Linked DNA regions of Callithrix jacchus. The protein of the gene in region 2 interacts with the protein of the main gene of each other region in a biochemical or structural test. Links are inferred from orthologs where the notes say so. Each region holds a gene or a part of one and is shown on either strand. Other genes may lie near its edges. The genes, in order: NR5A1, NRIP1 and THRA.

The links.
Region 1: the proteins of NRIP1 (region 2) and NR5A1 form a complex in vitro, tested with the Homo sapiens proteins (2 studies listed by BioGRID). The link is inferred for Callithrix jacchus from reciprocal best matches to the Homo sapiens genes NRIP1 and NR5A1.
Region 3: the proteins of NRIP1 (region 2) and THRA form a complex in vitro, tested with the Homo sapiens proteins (4 studies listed by BioGRID). The link is inferred for Callithrix jacchus from reciprocal best matches to the Homo sapiens genes NRIP1 and THRA.

What each region holds. Positions count from the first base shown.
Region 1 is NC_133502.1:173,119,505-173,126,144, reverse strand, and holds the start of NR5A1 (steroidogenic factor 1), read left to right. Parts: upstream 1-2,338; 5' UTR 2,339-2,792; exon of another isoform or gene 2,793-2,810; intron 2,811-4,932; exon of another isoform or gene 4,933-5,507; intron 5,508-6,029; exon of another isoform or gene 6,030-6,154; intron 6,155-6,290; 5' UTR 6,291-6,305; coding exon 6,306-6,407; intron 6,408-6,485; coding exon 6,486-6,627; intron 6,628-6,640. UniProt on the Homo sapiens protein: Transcriptional activator. Essential for sexual differentiation and formation of the primary steroidogenic tissues. Binds to the Ad4 site found in the promoter region of steroidogenic P450 genes such as CYP11A, CYP11B and CYP21B.
Region 2 is NC_133522.1:22,075,957-22,082,384, reverse strand, and holds the start of NRIP1 (nuclear receptor-interacting protein 1), read left to right. Parts: upstream 1-2,043; 5' UTR 2,044-2,244; exon of another isoform or gene 2,245-2,388; intron 2,389-2,965; exon of another isoform or gene 2,966-3,217; intron 3,218-6,428. UniProt on the Homo sapiens protein: Modulates transcriptional activation by steroid receptors such as NR3C1, NR3C2 and ESR1. Also modulates transcriptional repression by nuclear hormone receptors.
Region 3 is NC_133506.1:71,669,780-71,676,157, reverse strand, and holds the start of THRA (thyroid hormone receptor alpha), read right to left. Parts: upstream 3,828-6,378; 5' UTR 3,696-3,827; intron 1-3,695.

The DNA.
Region 1 (6,640 bases), on a different chromosome or scaffold from region 2:
AAGTGTGGTGGCACATGCTGTAGTCTCAGCTGTTCCGAAGACTGAAGCAGGAGGATCGCTTGAGCCCAGGAGGTTGAGACTGCAGTGAGCTGTGATACCACTGCACTCCAGCCTGAGTGACAGAGTGAGACCCTGTCTCAAAAGACATAAAACGAAATAGGGACACAAAAAAGAAGACTATTAAGATAAAACAAGGAGACTAGGTGCAACCATGTGCAAGAGAAGTATATCTTGTAAGAACTTTAGGTGAAAAGCATAATTACAAGGTCATACACATTGGGGAATAAGCTATATTTTATATTGCAGATGGAATATATTCCATCAGTTTTGACTGTGAAATTATAGAATTAATATTGAATTGATGATTATTATTATTTTTTGGAGACAGAGTCTGGAATGTAGTGCTAGACTACAGGCACATGCCAACACACCTGGTTAATTTTCATATTTTTAGTAGAGATGGCGTTTCACCATGTTGGCCAGGATGGTCTCGATCTCTTGACCTTGTGATCTGCCCACCTTGGCCTCCCAAAGTGCTGGGATTATAGGTATAAGCCACTGCGTTCGGCCATATTAATTATTAAAACTCTATTGCCCAGGCTAGAGTGCAGTGGCACAATCATAGCTCACTACAGCTCAAACTCCTGGGTTCAAGCCATTCTCCTGACAGCCTCCCCAGTATCCAGGACTACAGGCTATCAGTATTATTGTTGTATATTCACACACAATTTTAAGTAGCATAATGAGGAAAACATACACCAAGTTTTACTTTATTTTATTCTTTTATTTGAGACAGAGTCTCACTCTGTCACCCAGGCTGGACTGCAGTGGCATGATCTTGGCTCACTGCAACCTCTGCCTCCCAGGTTCAAGTGATTCTCCCACCTCAGCCTCCCAAGTAGCTGGGACTACAGGCATGAGCTCAACTAATTTTTGTATTTTTAGTAGCGATGGGGTTTCGTCATGTTGACCAGGCTGGTCTCGAACTCCTGACGTCAGGTGATCCACCCACCTTTGCCTCCCAAAGGGCTGGGATTACAGGCATGAGCCACAGCGCCTAGCTAGAAAACACACACTAGGTTTTAAATACAGTTGGCATTTCTACTCTTTCAGTGGCTTTCCATGGGGGAAAAAAAAAAAAAAAAAAAAAATATATATATATATATATATATATAGTTGGCTTCACTTATCCAGAAAAGCACCTCTTGTTCCAGATAAGTGAGGTGTTGGATGTGATTTGCTTATTTCCTCCAATGAAGGGGCATGTGGGGGGAAGGGTGGTTTTCACCAGTGACTGCCCCATAGTTGTCCTGTGCCCTTCCCCCATTCCCAAGATGAAAGGCAGAGAGGTCAATCCTCTGAGGACAGAGACTTCTCTTCCCTATGAGATCCCTGGTGCCCAGAACAGCACCTGACCCCTAAGTGCACGCTTAGCAAATGTGAGATGAACAGAGGAATGCAGGAAAGATCCAGTCACTGTGGGAGCAGCACAGGGCCCTATAGCCTGGGCCCTACAGGACCAGGAGAGAGTTCAGAGCCATCTGGGCCTGGAGATCGGACGGGACATCCCAGGCTGTAGACAGGCCTAGCCTTCTAGATAAAGGCCCTTCCCTCTACCCTGTCTTCTCCTGGCCTAGCTACACACTTGGTTCAGCCTGGGGCCACCCTTGCCACCACTTGGCCCAGAGGCGTCCTCCGCTCAGCCTCAGTTTTTCCAGCCACCGATGGGAACATCGGCAGCCCACAGCAGATGGGGACAGTCAGAGGCCACCGTGGCATGCATGCATGTGGTGTCCAGGCCGATCAGCTCCTCGACTTTTAGCCCCCCTCTTCCTCCATCTGATGGAAGAGTTAAAAGATAGGTCTTGGCAGCAGGCCACCTGGTCGAGTCGCCATGCCCTTGCCTCCCCACTGGCCTGTCCCGACTCCACTCCAGTGTCCGGGCTGGGCCAGACCATGCCCGGCCAGGCCCCAGGGAGGTAGCCATTCCCAAGGAGAGAGGCCAGGCGGCAGGCCGGATGGGGGAGCAGCCCATAAATCAGGCCCCACTCCCACTTGGTCGCTAACAAGCGCGGCTGCCTACCCGCCTCCGTGGGGTCCCTGCCTCTGGGCTCCCACAGCGGGCCTGGAACAGCCAGCTGGCCAAGGCCTCCGCAGTGCCTTGGCCTCCGCCCCCACCCTCGGCCCCCAGATAGATAGGGGTATTTTTTTTTTTCTATTAAGAGAAGAAGAAAAAAATAGACGTAAATGAAGAGAAACACCAACAAAGAAGGCGAGAGGCCTGCAGAGTCACGTGGGGGCAGAGACCAATTGGGCCTCCGGTGGCCCCCCCCAGGGCGGGGAGGAGGAGGAGGACGGACGGACAGGACCAGCCTGCCGTCCGGCTGCCGCCCGCCGTGGTGTGACGGGATTCCTGTGCGCCCACGGTCGCCACCGCCCCACCTGGGCTGCCGGAGCCTCCCCCTGGACCCCCGGTGCCCACTGCCACCCTCATCCGGCGTGAGAGCGCTGCTTCCGCTCCGTAAGTGAGGGCCTGGGCCCAGGCCTCTAATGGCCAGCCTCCTTCTGCAGTGCCTCCCTGAAGCTTGGGCCGGCCACCGCCTGCTCTGCTAAGTGACCGGTGCCCCTGCTCTGGGCAGGGAAGGGGCCAGGGGTCTCCCAGACTCACCCTCCCAGCATGCTACCCCCTTTTCTTCCTTGGGCTGCTGAGGGGAGGAGCCAGGCCTGTGACCGCAAGCCCCACGGAGGTCTGCTGGTGTCCGCTGTCGCTTGCCGGGCGTCCACCAGGCTGTGTGAGTCTGAGCCTAGAGGTCTGTGAGTGTGTCTGGAGGGCTCTGGGCCTGTCTTGGGGTTCTGTCCCTTGCCTGCGTGTCTGTGTTGTCTCTGTCGCTGTCTCTGAGTCTTGGTGTGTATCTGTGTGCCTGTCTCTGGCGTCCATCTGTCAGCCTGGGTTCTGTGACTGGGCCAGGTCTAGCTTTGCTTCCCTGGGTGGGTGCGTGAGGGGCTGGAACCTGGGGCTGTGGGAGTGGGTGCCTGGGTGCCTGGGTGCCTGGAGTGCGGAGGAGCCAGGAGCTCCTAGCCGGTGAGAGTGGAAACCTTGGGGGAGAGGGAGTTGGAGATAGAGGGAGAAGGGCCTCAGAGCCCAGCCCCCACCCACCCGGCCGGCTCAGGCCTGTGTGTCCAGCGCCAGGCTTCCCGGAGACTTCTATGGGCTCTACCTTAGAACAGCTGACTGGGGCACCCCAGCCCCTCATGCCCCCAACCCCCTTAGCTCCCGAGTCACTATCTGAGGGCTCCACTGTGTTGAGGAGCTGTTCAGAGGCAGCCGTGACCCCCACCTCCAGCTCCGGCAGATGCTCTTGTTTCTCAGCGGTTTGGGGGTGTGGGGTGCCATTTACAGGGTCTCTGGCTCTCTTTCCTCCCTCCTCCCCAAGATTCTTGCACTGAAACCGCAGTACTCCATCTGTAGGGCCAACACTTTCCACTTTATGCATGGAGAAACTGAGGCTCAGAGAGACCAAGTGACTTGCCCCAGCTTGCACAGCAAGTCTGCGGGTTCTGCTCCTCCACTGTGGGGTGGGCAAGCTGAGTGGGGTTTGCAGGGGTCTCTGGCTGCAGCTCACAGTCCCCAGGCCCAGCTGTGACCGAAGCCTGGGGCCTCGAGGCGGGCAGGGAGCCCATGGGGCCCTTTGGTGGGTTGCACCGCTGTCAGTGTAAAATTTCGGCATTTTCCTGCTGGAAGATCGCGGCTTTTTGGCCTCATGGTCCCCAAACTCTCTCCGGCCCCAGGTGCCGGCGGGGGCGGGGGCGGGATGCGAGCAAGCCGCTTCCTCTTGGGTCAGTTTCTCCAAATGAAAAACAGTGGCCCCGCCATGGTCCCCAGCCCAGAGCAACTGCTCGGCCCTTGGCCAGGGAACCCCTTTGTGCCCAAGGCCGCCCAGCGCTTTCTTCCCGCCCCACCCCGCTGTGAGAGCTCCGAGGGGAGCAGCGGGGTCCTGCCTCTGGGCTCCTGGGCCAGTAGAGGCTTCGGGCCCTCCCTAGGCCTCGGACATTCGTAAAATGGCATTTCAATCCACGATTCCCATTTCCAGCCCAGCGAACTGAGGCTGGCGAGGAGAAGGGGTTCGCCTCAGATCTCCCCAGCGGGGCGCCCCTGAGCGCTTCCACCAGGCCACGCGCTTGCTTCTCCCCAAGGCTTTGGTTGGTCCTCACGACCTGCCCTTAGCAAGGTAGAGCAGTCATCTACCCACTTCACAGATGCGGTCCCTGAAGACTCGAGGCGGGGAGAGTGCTACTGCAGGCTCGAGTGAGGAGACGTGGCGGGGCCAATAGGAGAATCTGGCTTCCACCCGTGAACTCGTGCCTCGGCCACGGTCGCTACTCGCTCTTACCCACTTCCACGCTGCACCGCGACCGGTCACCCTCGTGGCCCTCGCCACGACCCAGCTGGGTTCGCAGACAGGAGCTGCCTCCTCCCACCGCTGGCGGGTGGCCGGAGGCACCCGGCGCCCGACACCTGCCCAGATCGCGGGGCGCTCGGGCTCCGCCGCTCTCTGGTGGCTCTCGAGGTCCGGGGAGACCGGCTGGGGCTGGGGGGGGGGGGGGCGGGAGGATGAGGGCGAAGACTCGAGCCGGGCTGCGGAGGGGGTGCCGGGCGCGGGCCGGGCTCGGGGGGAGGACGCGGCCGGGCCTCCGCCCCCGGATACCGCACGCGCCGATATAGAGCGGCCGGCCCCCGGCCCGGGCGCGGCGGGTTGGCGCAGGGCGCGGTGGCGGCGGAGGGGCCCGGGTCCCAGGTGCGCCTCGGAGCGGCCCCGGCGGCGGCAGGGGTAGCGCAGGGAGACTGAAGGGGGGGGGAAGGCGGGAGGGGGGAGCCGAGGCCCCCCGCCGCCAGCCCCGCGCCCCCGCCTCCCCGCCCCCGGCCCGAGCGGCAGTCACCGCGGGCTGGCGGCGCTGCGCCCGGGTGCGGCTCCTCGCGGGCGGCGGCGGCGCGGCCGGGAGGTGCGGGCTCCGCGCGGGAGGGACGCGGGGCTCTGCTGGCAGGAGCGGCCAGGTGGGCGCCGGGCCGGCAGCAGCCGCCGTCGCGCCCCCTCTCGCGTCCGGGGCCCGGGCTCCGTGCGCTTCCCTCCTTGGGACTTCGGTCTCGGCCCGCGGTCGCTCCCCCGCCTCGGGCTCGACTTCCCGGAGCCCGCCGCCCACCGCCCGAAGTCTCCACGCCTCGCGACCCCTGCGCGTCTCCCCGCCCGACGTCCCGGTGGCGGCGGCAGCGCGGGCTGCGCCTCCCGTTGCCGTCGCTGCGGCGGCTTTGTCTTCCCCGGCGCGGGGGCCCCGGCGGCTCGGCGTTTCGGGCTCTCGGTCCCGGCGCCGTCGTTTTCCGCCTCCCGCGGCCCGGGTCCGCGTCCCGGGTCCGACCCCGCCGGGCCTCGCCTCGGCGCTCGGGCTCCTGGCCCGCCGGTTTCCGAGCGTCCCGCGTCCCAGACCCTCGGGCTGGCCGCCTCCGCCTCCAGGTTTTTTCTCCGTGTCTCTGTCTCGACGTCTCTGTCTCTGTGTCTCTGGCTCTGCGTCCGTCTCTCTTGGGTTTTCTCTTTGGGCCTCCGCTGTCTCTTGGAGTCTCTCTTGGATCTGATCCCCTACCCCTCGTTCTCTCTCTCTCTCTCTTTCTCTTTCTCTCTCTCTGTGTCTCTGCCTCTCTGTCTCTCTCCATCCCTCCCTGTGTCTCGTCCCCGCCGGGTTCTCTCCAGCTCGTGGTCTCTGTGTCTCTGGCACTTTGGGGCTGACCTGGTCTCTGCGCCCCGCGGCGTCGGTCCTCGTCTCTCGCCCGGGTTTCCTCCTATCTCTGTCTCTCCCGGACTCTGTCTCTGCTTCCTTCGTCTCTGTTGGGTTCCCAGAACACCCGGGCCGGGCGCCCCACATCTCCCGGGTCCCCTGGCGTCTTCCCCGCGGCTGAGCCCATCACCTTTTCTCAGAATCGGGGTTTTGTTCTCAGACAAACGAATCCGAATCGAAGCTCATCGAATCCGAAGGCCCCCGATCGGGCGCGGCGGGGCCCAAGCTGGAGGAGCCCTCCGGCGGGGCGGGAGCGCAGGGCCTGGGCGGGGAAGGCCGGCACGGGGGCCTGCACCGGGCCCACCCCAGGACGCTGCGCGGGCGCTCGGTGGGTGCGGGAGGCAGCGCCTGGGCGCAGAGAGGGGACCGCGCGACGGACCGGGGACAGCGGCTAGGGCGGCGGCCGCGGGTACCCCAGGCTGTGGGTCTGCACAGTCCCGCGCTGACCCGCTGTTCTTCCGCAGGCGGACGCCGCGGGCATGGACTATTCCTATGACGAGGACCTGGACGAGCTGTGCCCCGTGTGTGGGGACAAGGTGTCCGGCTACCACTACGGACTGCTCACGTGTGAAAGCTGCAAGGTGAGCGGTCGGGCGCGCGGCAGGGGTGCAGCGGGCGGATGCGGTGGGGCCCCGCTGACTCTCCGCTCCCTCCCGCAGGGCTTCTTCAAGCGCACGGTGCAGAACAACAAGCACTACACGTGCACCGAGAGCCAGAGCTGCAAGATAGACAAGACGCAGCGCAAGCGCTGTCCCTTCTGCCGCTTCCAGAAGTGCCTGACGGTGGGGATGCGCCTGGAAGGTGCGGGCAGCGC
Region 2 (6,428 bases):
AACCGAACAGCGTTGTTTTCACATCGCAAATGGTTCAAATGAGAATTGACTTCGGAGTACAAATTACCAAATAGACATTCTTATATTACATATATGCCCTAGTATCCTTGCAATGACTCTGTTACCCGGGAAATTTAGGTATTGATTTATTTAAAAAAAAAAAAAAAAAAGACAACAAAACAAAATAGTCTCCACATAATTAGCATGATTAAGTGAAAATGAATTCCACAAGAGGTGTGCAATTTACTTAACACCCATGCACTATCAAAAGAGTTCAGGATTTCAAGGACTGGGTTTCTGTGTGATTGAGAAAACATAATAATAATAAGTGAGGCGCTTTGGGCAGTCATCTAACATACAGCAGTGGACTTTTTAACACCAGTGCTGGAGGGCTGGAAAATTCTCGGCTTGTTGGGCAACCGCTGTGGTTCAAAACCTGGTTAAGAAGTAAGAAGAATGCATTTAAAAGCTACACTTGAGTAGTCCAAATATCTTTCCTAAAGTCTATGCACTAACGTGTGTTGCACCTTACTCCTCGGTGAGCCCATCAGTCCCTCACCCAGAACCTATTAAGTTTACTTTAGACAGAATTGTGACAAGTGAAGCTATCTGGATTCCCAGTCCGCACTAGAATGGAAGTTACCAATCAGAAGATGAGAAGAATGTTAGTGGCAGCTATGCTGGTAACAGCAAGGACAACAGATTTTTAGTTAGTGAAGGGGGAGAGAGAGAAATTACAAAAGGCAGAGATAATCACTAAGTCATAGCATCCTAGAGTCCTTCTGTGTAAAGACTAATAGCTTTTGTACCTCCTGGGAGCATCCCTAACACCTAGGAAGAATATAGAATAGGAACTTGACGTATTTCCTGAATCCACTACAACCTACTACATAATCACTTTTAATAAAATTGACATTGAATTGTCAAGAAAATGCTAAATGACGTTCAATAAACTGCTTAAGAGAAACATTTGAAAGACAATACAGAAAAATCTTTGTATAATGGTTAAAAATAATTTTCACAAAAAAAGTTTGACTCCCACTAAGGGGCCAAGCTCCAATTATGCTGGTCATCATTGAATTGGAATGGTTTGCTTTGTATCAGTTCTGAATAAATGATGCACTAAAGAACAGCAGCCTTTACTAAGTTGCCTAGAGCAGATTTTGCACTGTGGTATATGCAAATAATATGCTATTATATGAGGTTTAACTATATAAAATGGCAACAGATTGCATCGTTGAATCACTGGGGTGATGTAAAATAATTGTTTTAATATGTGCCATTGCCACTAAGCAAAACATTGGAACCATGTGCCCGGCACTGTGCTAGATGCTGAATTTATTAAGCATTAATTTGAAAATTTGCTTTCACTTTCAAGACTATGACAGTATTTTAAAACTCGTATTCACATTTTTAAAGGCTAAGTGAAATTTGAAATACACAATACAGCCGTTACATAACAGGCATAAGAATACAGTTTTATGACTTGGATAGTTTTTGTTTTTTAAGCGCATTAGCAACTCCATTTCCAAATGCTATCAAATTCTTCAGGATATGAAAGCCTACATATAAGAATGGAGTGCCTCAGCGGCTCATTTGCCTTATGTAATAAGTGCTTTAACACAGGCATGCCATTTCAGAATTTCGGATGAGACTACGCTGTACTTTTAGCTTTTTTGTGTCAAGCAAAAACAATTTCAGCAACAACACTCCTTTCCCCTGGTAAATTTTTTCATGCTTATTACTAAATGCTAGATGCTCAAGTCACAAAGAAACCTGACATCTGGGGAGGTGTTGAGGGGGTGTTAATAGTTCTCGTGAGATGCTTGGTTGGGGAGCGTTGAGGATACGATTTTTAAAACAGCAAATACACGGAGAAGGGGAAATTATGGTTTCGTATAACTCTCTCCTCCCTCCACTCTCTCGTTTCACCAATCTGTAGCCCCCCCAATTTAGAGGCGGGTTCAGCGAGATTAGGCTGCAGGAAACCGAAAGGCTCCACCGCGCTGCCGCCCCGGCCTCGTGATGTAATTGTCATTTCTTATTCGGAGACTGAACCGGGGAGAGCTGCCGAAGTAGCAGCCCTGCTCCTTTGCCTTGTCTCGTTGGGTCAGATCCTGCCCGGGGATGATGTAGTTTGGCTGACAGACTCCGCCGGAGACTTCGCAGTGACAAAGCAGCCGAGGATTAACCCTGCTCCTGGGTCCTACGTCTGTCCAGGGAGCTGAGCGGGGCGCTCCTCAGGTCTTCTTCCTAGTTTTCCTCCCGGAGTCGCGCCACATTGAGTGCTGCTGGGTGCCTACTACGTGCTGGGCGTGGGGTCAAAGTGACCCAGAGTTCGCGCCCGTGCCCCCCGAGATTAAAGCAGGACACACAGATGACAAGGAGGTGGAAATCGGGGGTGGGTGGGTGAGAGGGAGCCCAGGGAGCGCGTGTCGTGGGGTGAAGGGGAGGAGGTAGACGCTTAAGGCGCCAGCACCCAGGCGGGGACCCTGGGGCGTCCGGCTCCCGGGCTGTGCCCAGGCGGGAGCGATCGGCCTGGGTCCCGAGAGCGCTTCCCCGAGTGCCCGGGAGGAGCTGTCCAGGCGCCTGCGGCGGTCGGGGGCCGCTGGACAGAGCTGGGAGCCCGGGGAACGTCCCCTCTCCCGGGGACGCGGTCCTCTCGCCGCCCCGGGGCCCCGCAGCCCCGTCTGGGCCACCCCCGAGCAGGCGAGGAGGAAAACCACGAACCAGAGGGGGCTTCCCGACTCCTGAGAGCGGCCCGCATCCGCGCGGCTTCCTCCCGACCGGGTGACAATGGGAGGGAGGGGGAGAAAAGGGTTAAGAAACTTGGCTGAAGAGCTGAATGGCGTGGGGCGGCGAGGGGAGGGACTGGGCCGCGGCGGACTCGGCGGCGGAGGGAGGAGCGCGGCTGCGGGCGGGCGGCGAGCGAGGCGCTCAAAGTCAGCCTCGCAGACATTGCAGCAGAGCCCCGAACTCGGGAGGCGGCGGCGGAGGAGGTGGAGGAGGCGCGGCGAGGCGCAGGGACGACCCGGCCCCACGCCCGCCCGCCACCCGCGCGCGCCCGTCCGCCCGTGGCCTCGCGTCCGCCGCTGCGCAGGGAGCGCCGCTGGTCGGAGGGAAGAGCTCGCCGGGGCGCCGGGCCAGGACGGGGCGGCGGGCGCCTTCGCGGACCGAGCCTGACGGAGCCGGAGGCTGGGAGCCGCGGCGGCCTCGGGTGAGTGGCGGCCGCGGCCGGGGCGCTCGGAGGAGCCCGCTCTGGCCCCGCCGGAAACGGCCGGGAGTGCGGCCCGCGGAGGCGCTGGCTGGGCGGGCAGGGCCGCGGGGGCGTCGGGGCGGCGGGGAGGGTGCGTTTCCGGGGAAATCCTGCCTCCGCTCCCCGGGATCTCGCGGGGGGCCGGGGCGGCGGGGCGGCAAGTTGTGGAGTGGCCCCGGGGCTGCCCGCCAGTCCGTGCCAGTGCTGGGCGAGGGGGCGGCCGCCGCGTGGCCCCTGCGCGGGAGCTCGCGGGGCCGGATCGGGGTTGCGCCCGGCTCGCCTGCCCTCTCGGCCCCGAGCCCCGGGCACCGCTCGCCGCGTCGCTCTCGGTCCTGCTGTCCAGCCGGATCCGGGGCGGCGCCTTTCGCCCGGGTGCTTCCCTGCTCGGTGCTCGCGGGATACCCGGCTGGGAAAGTGAATGGGAACCGGGACTGCTCGTCCGGCCCCCACCCGACCCCAGGCCCGCTCTGCCCGCACTCGTTGTCCCCTCCTGAGAGCGAGGCTCACGGACCCGAGGCCTCAGCCACCGTTTTACCCGGAGCCGGGGGCCGGCTCCCATTTAGGCTGAGCCCTGTGGAAGTCCGGGGAGGCTGCCTTTTCTCCCTTCTTCTGTGTCCACGTTACCGCTATTGAATATTGTTTTACGAAGGTTCCCATGGTCATCTTCTGCACACCCTCCCAGCCCTTCCAAAGTAGTTTCCCAGTTTTAATCAGGAGTTGGTGTTCAGTCTGAAGGAACAAAGGAATCAACTGTGTCTTAGAGGCGGACAGGCTGGAGTCTGTGACACATGTTGATCTCTGAAGCATTCCAGGAGTTGCTACCTTTTAGCACGTCAGTAATTGGGTTCTGAAGGTAGTAAAAGAAGAAAGGAATGATAAGCACTTTTTCGTTTTAAAAATATTCTGTAATGGCACATTTTACTTCGGGGGGAAAAAGAAGACGTTTTTAGGTACAAGGATTTTTAAGAACTCAATTGGTGGAACTGAGTTAGAGTTTGTCTCTGGTATTGTAAATGATTACATGTGGGATTGTGAAGGAAATTGTGTCCTTAGAGGCAGAGAAGCCATCTGTAGGTGTCCACAGTAAAAATGGTTGTCGGGTTATATATGATGAATGCTCTTTCTATTTCTTGGGGGAATTTGTGAAGCAAGGGGCTTCGGTAATTCATTCTTTAAAGTTATGAATTGCATTGAACCTGCTTATTAGTGAGTCATAGGTTTAGTAAGTGGGTGGCATTATTCTATGTTTAATCATCAGTTTTCCACCTTTGTTGAAGAGATAGTGAAATAATAGACTTTTTAAACAAATGGCGCTTCATCTGCCTGGCCCCTAAGTGTCGGTTGCCGCCTGGAGTATGTTGAAATGTTTTTTAACTTCCAAGTAAGTGAGTTGCTCTGGTTTTGCCCAGCAGTTCGGTATCGTCGGTAGGGTTTATCTGGTTCAGGGAGCAGTAGCTTCATCACTTATAGTAACTTTTCTTTGCCTGGGTATAGTTCCTAGAAACAAAGAAGGAGAATCAATTAGTGGAGCAGATACTGCCCTGCAGGTCATAGGACTGGTTGCTCTATCTAGTCTGTTTCATTAGCTGGTGGAAAAGACCTCTTTCCAAACTTACCCTTAAAAGTGCCCTAGGAGTGTGAGTAAAATATACATCAAAACATAAGAAAAAAAAAATGACTGTTTGTTGTTGATTTTATTCATATGAATTAGTTGAAAATCAGATTTAATGCCTGTTTTGCGTGCTTTTCCAAACTCTGCAGAACTTGGATTTTGCGAATTTTAACATCCTAAAATATTGTTAACTTTGCAGTAATGTGTGAAGAGACCAAAGGCTTTTCTGACTCTTGCAGTTATAAGTGCAAAACATCATGATAAAAAATAACCTATACCACCACCTAGAGTCTGTTTGTTAGTTTATTGCTCATGAAGTTTGCTTAAATTGACATGTCTGTTACAGTTCTGATATAGTCGAAAATGATTAAGAAGTGCTGGCTTTCAAAAGGCCATCCAAGAGAACAATTATTTAAGTAATAAATAGCAAGAGCCAGTTTAAATTTTTCATGCCACCTTTGGAATTGAAAATTATGACATATCAAGTTGAGTGGGCTATTCTCCAAGATGTTAATTCAAAATATTTTAAAACGGAGTACTCGGCTTGTGCACCAAGGCAGTTCTGATTCCTTAACAACTTCTGTGATGTTATCAGAGATTCAAGAAATCTTCCAAATCAGATGCCGTTAGAACTTTTTAAAGTCCGAATGAAACAAAAGCAAAAATATAGGAAAGCATTACAATTACAGAAATTCTGGCAATTCAGAAGTTAAGAGGATGCAGCCTATGGCAGAGTTGTGGTTCAGAGATGTGAAAAGTAAAATCAATGTGAATTAAAGTGATAATCTGTTTTGCTGGTAGTCTGTATGTGGTAAAGCAGTCTATTAAATGAGACACCTTAGGGAGGCAGCTTTGTTGCCATGTGGCTTATCACATTGTCCATGGAGGAAGTAATGTTCTTCCTTTAAGTGGTGTAGCCTGAGAGAAAGATGGCCTCCAAGATCTTTAATTAAATACCAGTTGAACAGAAAGAACTAGAGCACTGTATTAATTCTGTCAAACATCACTATTTTAGAACATTGAGGACAACTAAAAATGAATTAACTCATATCTGAAAGCAGAGTTTGATAGAAGGTGACAGATGAGGCAAAATATGCCAATCTAATGGAACAAATAAGATAAGGAGATATGCCATCCTTGACTCTAGAAAGATCAGAGGGAAGAAGATTATTGTTAATTGCACAGATTCTATTGCAGACCAGTGCTGGAAGACAATGCTATAGAAGTAATTTTAAATCAGAGTGGCTTAGGATATATGAGGTTAAAGGAATTCGGCTTTTAATTTTAAAACATTAAAGAATGTAAGAAACTTAAAAGCTCACGTTCTAAGTGTTGTTTGGGAAAAGCAATAATAGTTTGGTGTATCGGGTTAAAAAATAGTTTTGCTCAGAAAAAGTTTAAAATACCTAATTTTAGTCCAGGAAAACATTACTCACTTTAAATTGTGATGGGGCAGTTTTGCTTTTCACATTTGAGATTGCTTGATACAGTTAGTTTTTAATGTAGGTTAGTAAGAGGAGTTCCAGTCTCTCCCCCACCCTTTCTTTCCCTCCCTCCGTT
Region 3 (6,378 bases), on a different chromosome or scaffold from region 2:
GCATGCCACCACACCCAGCTAATTTTTTTTTTTTTTAGTAGAGATGGGGTTTCACTATGTTGGCCAGGCTGGTCTTGAACTCCTGACCTTGTGATCTGCCCATCTTGGCCTCTAACAGTACTGGGATTATAGCCATGAGTCACCACACCCGGCCTCAGGCCCACAGCTTTCTTCATCCATCACAACAGCTCACACAATACAGTTTGTTATTAACTAGGCACTTTTTAAAGCATTTTTCCTCAAAAAAGCTAAATGAGGTAGACATGATCATCCCCAATTTACAGATAAGGCAACGGGGAAGTTAAATGTCTTGCTCAAAGTCACACATCCAGTGAGTGAGAGCTGGGATTCAGACCCAAGCATTCCATCATCATCACCATCATCATCCCTATTCCTAACTGTGATGGCATATCACCTGCTTGAGGGATAATGCCTTGTTCTTTAATCCAGCGACGTGTTCCCTGAGACCAAGCTTTGGTCTTTGCCCCGAGGGCTCTGTCAGTGCCTCCACCTCCAAATAGGCCAAGGCTAGAGGGAGCATGGCCAGAAGTGCTTGGTGCCCCCGGGCCCTGTGCCTCCTACCCGAGTTCCTCCTCGTCAAATGCCCTCTCCGGAAGAGGTTCCCCTTCTAGGCTGGAACCTGCACTCATGGGTGGGAGGGCCTCGCTCAGCCCACACTTAGTCTGGGCAGCTGTGCCCTCAGAACCAGGCCCTGAGGCTGGGAAAAGAGGACACAGCTGTTGGGCATCTCTGAGGTGCGCCTCAGCTGCCAGGGGTGTGGAGAAAGGTCACTGTGAGCCCTGCCACGGACCCAACTCAGGAGGGTCCTGCCAGCTCCTGCCACTGCCCATGGGGTGGTTCTTTTCCAGCTTGGGCCAGTGTCTGGGGAGCCTTGTCACTGACTTGTTTAGGAGCTGCTAGCTGGCTGCAGCCTGCATCCTGAGGGTGCCCACAGAACTGGTCTGGCTGCCCGAGGGGCAGCATGGGCAGTGGCTGTCCCCCCTCCCTTTCCCCATTCCCAGTCCCTAAAACTTGCTGGCCACAGCTGCAGCAGTAAGGAAGTGCAGGAAGTCCTGAGCAGCCAGCTGAGCCCACCCCCCTGGCCCCCCACACCAACCTTAAGCTGACCCCAGAGGCTGCCTGGTGTAGCGGGTGGGGGGGTGGGGGGGCAGAGGGGCGGAGATTGGGTATTAACAACGGGAAAAGTATGAAGAACATCACTGCCAGTCCCCAGCTCTGAGACAAGGACAGGGGTAGACAGGGGTAGCGACAGGATGAGAGAGAGTTACAGACTGGCAGAGAAGGGGAGAGAGAAAGAGAGAGAGAGAGAGAGAATCAGACACTGCAAGACAGAGCAACAGAAAGAGAGAGTTAGAGAGAAATTCCAAGTCAAAAATACACATCACTCATGCAGACAGTCGCCAGCCGATGGCCTCTTAAGGAAAGCTTCCAAGTTTGGGTAGCAGGGTCCAGGTGACAAGAGGGGCGGCCAGACTCAAGGTGGGATGCAGGAACTCAGCTGGGGGTGACTGAGTGTTCCCAGGAAAGGCCCGGGCAAATGACTCAGAGCATGGGCAGTTTGATATCCCTGAGCTTTTCGGGATGAGTGCAGCTCTCCCCTCACCCAGAAGTCAAGAGAATCCCAGCTTCTAGAAGTCCCTGGACATGCTCTGAGCCCCATACTCGGCCTTCTGGAACCCCCCTGCACCCTCCGTCTTTGCTCTTGTTTCTCTGACCCTCCAAAAGAAAATAAAAGTAAAAAAAAAGCCCATTCCCACAGAGTGGCTGGGCCTAGAGGAAGAAGGCAGGAAGAAGCTGAAAGGGAAAAGTCTGTGATTGTGTGCATCTAGGTGTGTGCTTGGCTGCACAGGCTACAGTTGTGTGCATCTGGAATTATGTGGACACGACTGTTTGTGTGGACCTGGGCCCTGTGAACTCATTCTGTACCTGAGTTCAGGGGCCCATGTGCAAATGAGTGCACCTGTGTCCGCAGGTTCCACAGTCAATCAACTAACAAGTAGTTACAAAGCAGCCATTGTGCTAGGCTCTGGGTGCGATCCGGAGCTCTTCAAATGATTCTCCCAGGTCTCCAAGAGCTCACTGTCTAGTAGGGTTGGTATGTCAAGCAACAGAGACCAAAAACATGTCATCGGGAATGCATGCTTTGCACCATTACGCAGCAACACCTTTTCATACAGCCAAATTTAATTTTCTTGGGAGCAAGGGTTTTCTTGTCTACAGAACCTCAGAGCTCCACAGTAAGAGTCCAGGAAAATACTTGTTGCTAAGTTGTGTATACATGTGTTGATGTATAACTGTGTTTGCATCTGACTGAGTGACAGCTACTGTCACGGCAAGCAATGATGACTGTGTGACTGGGCTTATGTGAGCACGTGTGTGCCTGTGAGTGACAGGGTCTTTTGTAATTGTGCGGCTGTGTGCAATTGCTCTGTGTGCATGCATGCATGTGACAGTGACTTTTTCTGTGTGGGTGACAGCAACTCCTCCTTGCCCGTGTGTGACAGCCTCTCCGTGTGACCCTGTGCGTAGGTATGTGCCATGGGTCGGTCTCCATGCTTTTGGTCTCCCGTGGGTATGTCCCACCCCCTGAGCTCCAGGGTGCAGCAGCAGCCTGCCTCTTCCCTTGTCCCCATGTGGGTGTGTCCAGCAGCTCCTGTCCTTGAGTCCGCCTGGGTGTCCCTGGGTATGCCTGTGGCTGTCTGTGTGGACATATCTCTGTGTCTGCGTGTCACTTTTGCTTTCCCCCCATCTTGGACAACAGCCCCCTTCATCCCCTCCCCCTCTTGGAGATGAAGCCAGCACTGAGGGGCAGGCTCCCATCTCACTGGCTTTCCTTCTGTGTCCCCCACCCCCACCTCTGGACCGGTGGCTCTTTCAATTGCCCCTGTCATCCCCCCAGGCCTTTCTTTCACGCTGGGCAAGGGAGGGCCCCAGATGGAGAAGGGGAACCAGAGACACGTTGCAAGGGGAGGGAAAAAGGTGGGGTACACACACACAGGTCCATTTCTCCCTCTCCTCCCCAGCCAGCAACTCTCCTAATCATCTAGGCACCATCAAGTGCACCCCCTCCACACACACATTCCCCCCAGCAGCAGCGTTTTTGCAATTAGAGTGTTGCAACCAGACAGCCATGCTCCACTGGAAGGCGGGTGAAGGGGGGTAACTTCCCTCTCCCTGGACCCATGCAAGCCCACCCCCGCCACCGCACTCATACTGCCCTCCGCAGCTGGAGGCAGCTTTGCAAAGGCTACTCGGCCTCAAAGGCTAGGGGTGGGGGCTGGGGGGGGCAGGCCTCCGACGCACCGTAAACAAACCGCGGAGCGGCGGGCGGGGGAGCTCCGGCGGCCGGCAACGGGGCTTGGCCCGGGAATGCGCAGCAGGCTGGCCGGACAGAGGCCGGGCGGGACGTCGAGGGGGAGGCCCGGACGCCATCTCCGCCTGCAAACCCCCGGGCCCACCGACCTCCAAGCAACACCTCCCTTCCCCAGGGCGTCAGCTGCAAGCTCCTGGGCTCGTGACAGGGTCACTGGGGCGCCGGGAAAGGCTGAGGCTGACAGCGGGTACGCCCTGGGCGACCCTGGCCCGCCTGGGAGCTGGCCACGGAGCCCCGCGGCTTTGCATAATCAATCGCGAGGCATTTGCATATTAATGCCCCCTCGCTCCCTCCTCCTTACCTCGGCGTGGCGCGCTGGACCGGGCTGGGCAGCGACGCGGGGGTCTCAGCGCCCAGTGCCGTGGGCGTCCATGGGGGGCCGGTGGGGCCCGGGCCGCCCGCCTCCTGCGCCCGGGTGTGAGTGCGAGTGAACGCGGGGGGGGGGCGGGGGGCGAGTGTGGCGGCCCCGCGGCTCCTCCGGCAGAGGCGGCGGCCGCTCTGGCTCCTCCCTCCCCCGCCCCGCTCCGGCTGGGGCTCGGGCTCCGCGCGCCCGGCCGGCTCGCGGCTGCTCCCTGCAGGCCGCCTCGCCACCGCCCGCCCCCGCCCCCCGCCCCCTGCCGCGCCCCGGGACCCCCGCCAGCGGCCCGGCAGCCCCTCGGCCGCCCCTGCCCCGCCCCGCTCGGACTCACCCTCCCCCGCCGGGCGGCTCCCGCAGGAGTGGGTACTTGGTGACATATTTTGGAAGAGATGTCATTAAAAAATAGCCTTTGCTTGCCGGGAGAATTGGGGGTTTTCGGGTTTGCACCATGGGGTGGGGAAGAAAGTACCGAGGAGCCGCCTGCACCTTACACATGAGGAGAAAGCCTAAACACCAAACGCTTGCAGGTGTAGAGTTTGTTTAGGAGTTCGGGTCCCTTCTCCGCCAGTAACTCACTGTGTGACCTTGACAAACCACCACTGCTGTCGGGGCAGAGCTTCCTCAAGCTTCAGCCGCGAAGGCTGGGCAGATCACCCCTGACGTCCTTTTAACTTCAATCATCCTGTGTTTTTAATCCTTGTGTGGGCTCAGTACCTCCCTCCCCTCTCATTTCTAACATCGATACCGATCCACTGCCTCCCCTTTCCAACATCACCCTTCTCCATATAGGCTCTTTCTATTCTCTGTCACCAGCCATTTCCCCAACAATCTGCTCCCTCTCCTCACCTCGGGGAGGGGACAAGATTTGCCATACCCCCTCAATTCCTAGCTCCTGGGTGGTGGTATTTCCCCCCGTGTTTGCTCCCACCAAAATCCAAATGGTACCAGAGTCAATCTAAGGAAGCCGGTGGGCTGCATACAAATGGACCCCCTAATCCAACCCAAAGGAGAGGTTTCCACTGTGCCAGCCCCACCCCCAGCACACATACACACACACGCAACACACACACACACAACACACACACACACACGCATCTGCAATTCATGGACATAAAACCAACCCAGTGACGCCAGAGCCCCTTTCATCTCGGGATCTCCCAGTTCCAGGCCAAGCCCTAATTACCCCAGCACGCCCCTGGCCCCGCCGGTTCCCCTGCTGTCATTAGCCCAGTTTTACCAGTGGGGGCCACAGCCTTCCCACGGCTCTCAGGGTGGGGCCCTGCTACACAGTCTGCTCTTGGAGAGGGGTGTGTGTTTGTGTGTGAGCGTGTGTGTCAGGGGGAGCTGCTCAGCTACTGGCCCAGGTTATACTGGATAGAATCACTTGCCGAGTGTGGGATCCTGACCCACAGCTTATCCAAGCTGGGCTGCCCTTGCTCATGTCTCAGTCTCAGCCTCCTGCATCCTCAGTGCTGTTGGAGCCACTTCTTTCACAGGGGATACTGGAGTTTGTAATGCTTGGCGGAGGGGAGGGTACCTCTCTGGGGGTCCCTGGAACCATGGAGATGAGAAAAGCAGCTGGGATGAAATCTATGGCATGCAGAGTGCAGCGGTGGTGTTGAGGGCATTGCCATAGGTGAAGGGAGCCTGTGAGGTGCAGTGGCAGCTAGAAGGGGGAGTTGAGGCAGCAGCGTGCAGTGTCTCCACGAGGTAAGCGAACCTGTGTTCAGTCTGGGCTCACGGGAGACAAGCAACAGCTGCAGTGTGGGGCAGGAGGCTGCAGCGTGCAGAGTCAGTGCAGTGAGCAGAATGAGGTGCACTGAGGGTGGCTGCCTGCCGGTGGGTGCCACCTCCTCGGTGATCAGGTTTGGCCGAAACCCTGGGGTGCACGGCTACAGTGTATAGTGCTTGGGGTCTGTGCTCTACCCTGTGTGGAACTAGTCCGTTGGGATTGGGCTGCTTAAGGAGCTGGGAGGGAATCCTGATGCATGAGATACATTTATACTCTGCATCACAAAGACAGAACTAGGAGGCAGTGGGGAGGGCCAGCAGTCATCTGGATTGGGGCTGGAGTGATGGAGTCCAGAGGCGGAGGAGGAAGGTGCTGTGGTTTTGTCTCCCTTCCATCCTGGCTTTCCCCACCATATCTCTCTTTGATGCAAGGCCCTATAATATTGTGTGGGGGAAGACTTTCTGAAATCCTAGATCCAAAGCCATATAAAATGATGTGCCTTCTGATTCACTTTTTTTTTCCTGAAGGGCAGAGTAAGGCACTCAAAGACAAGGGTTTACCATTTCCATCTTCTCCCCCACTCCTTTTTTTTTTTTTTTTTTTTTTGAGATGGAGTTTTTCTCTTGTTGCCCAGGCTGGAGTGCAATGCTGTGATCTTGGTTCACTGCAACCTTCGCCTCCCAGGTTCAAGCGATTCTCCCGCCTCAGCGTCCCTGTAGCTGGGACTACAGGCATGTGCCACCATGCCAGCTAATTCTGTATTTTTTTTAGTAGAGACGGGGTTTCTCCATGTTGGTTAGGCTGGTCTCGAACTACTGACCTCAGGTTATCCATCCGCCTTGGTCTCCCAAAGTGCTGGGATTACAGGTGTGAGCCACCATGCCCAGCCCCCAT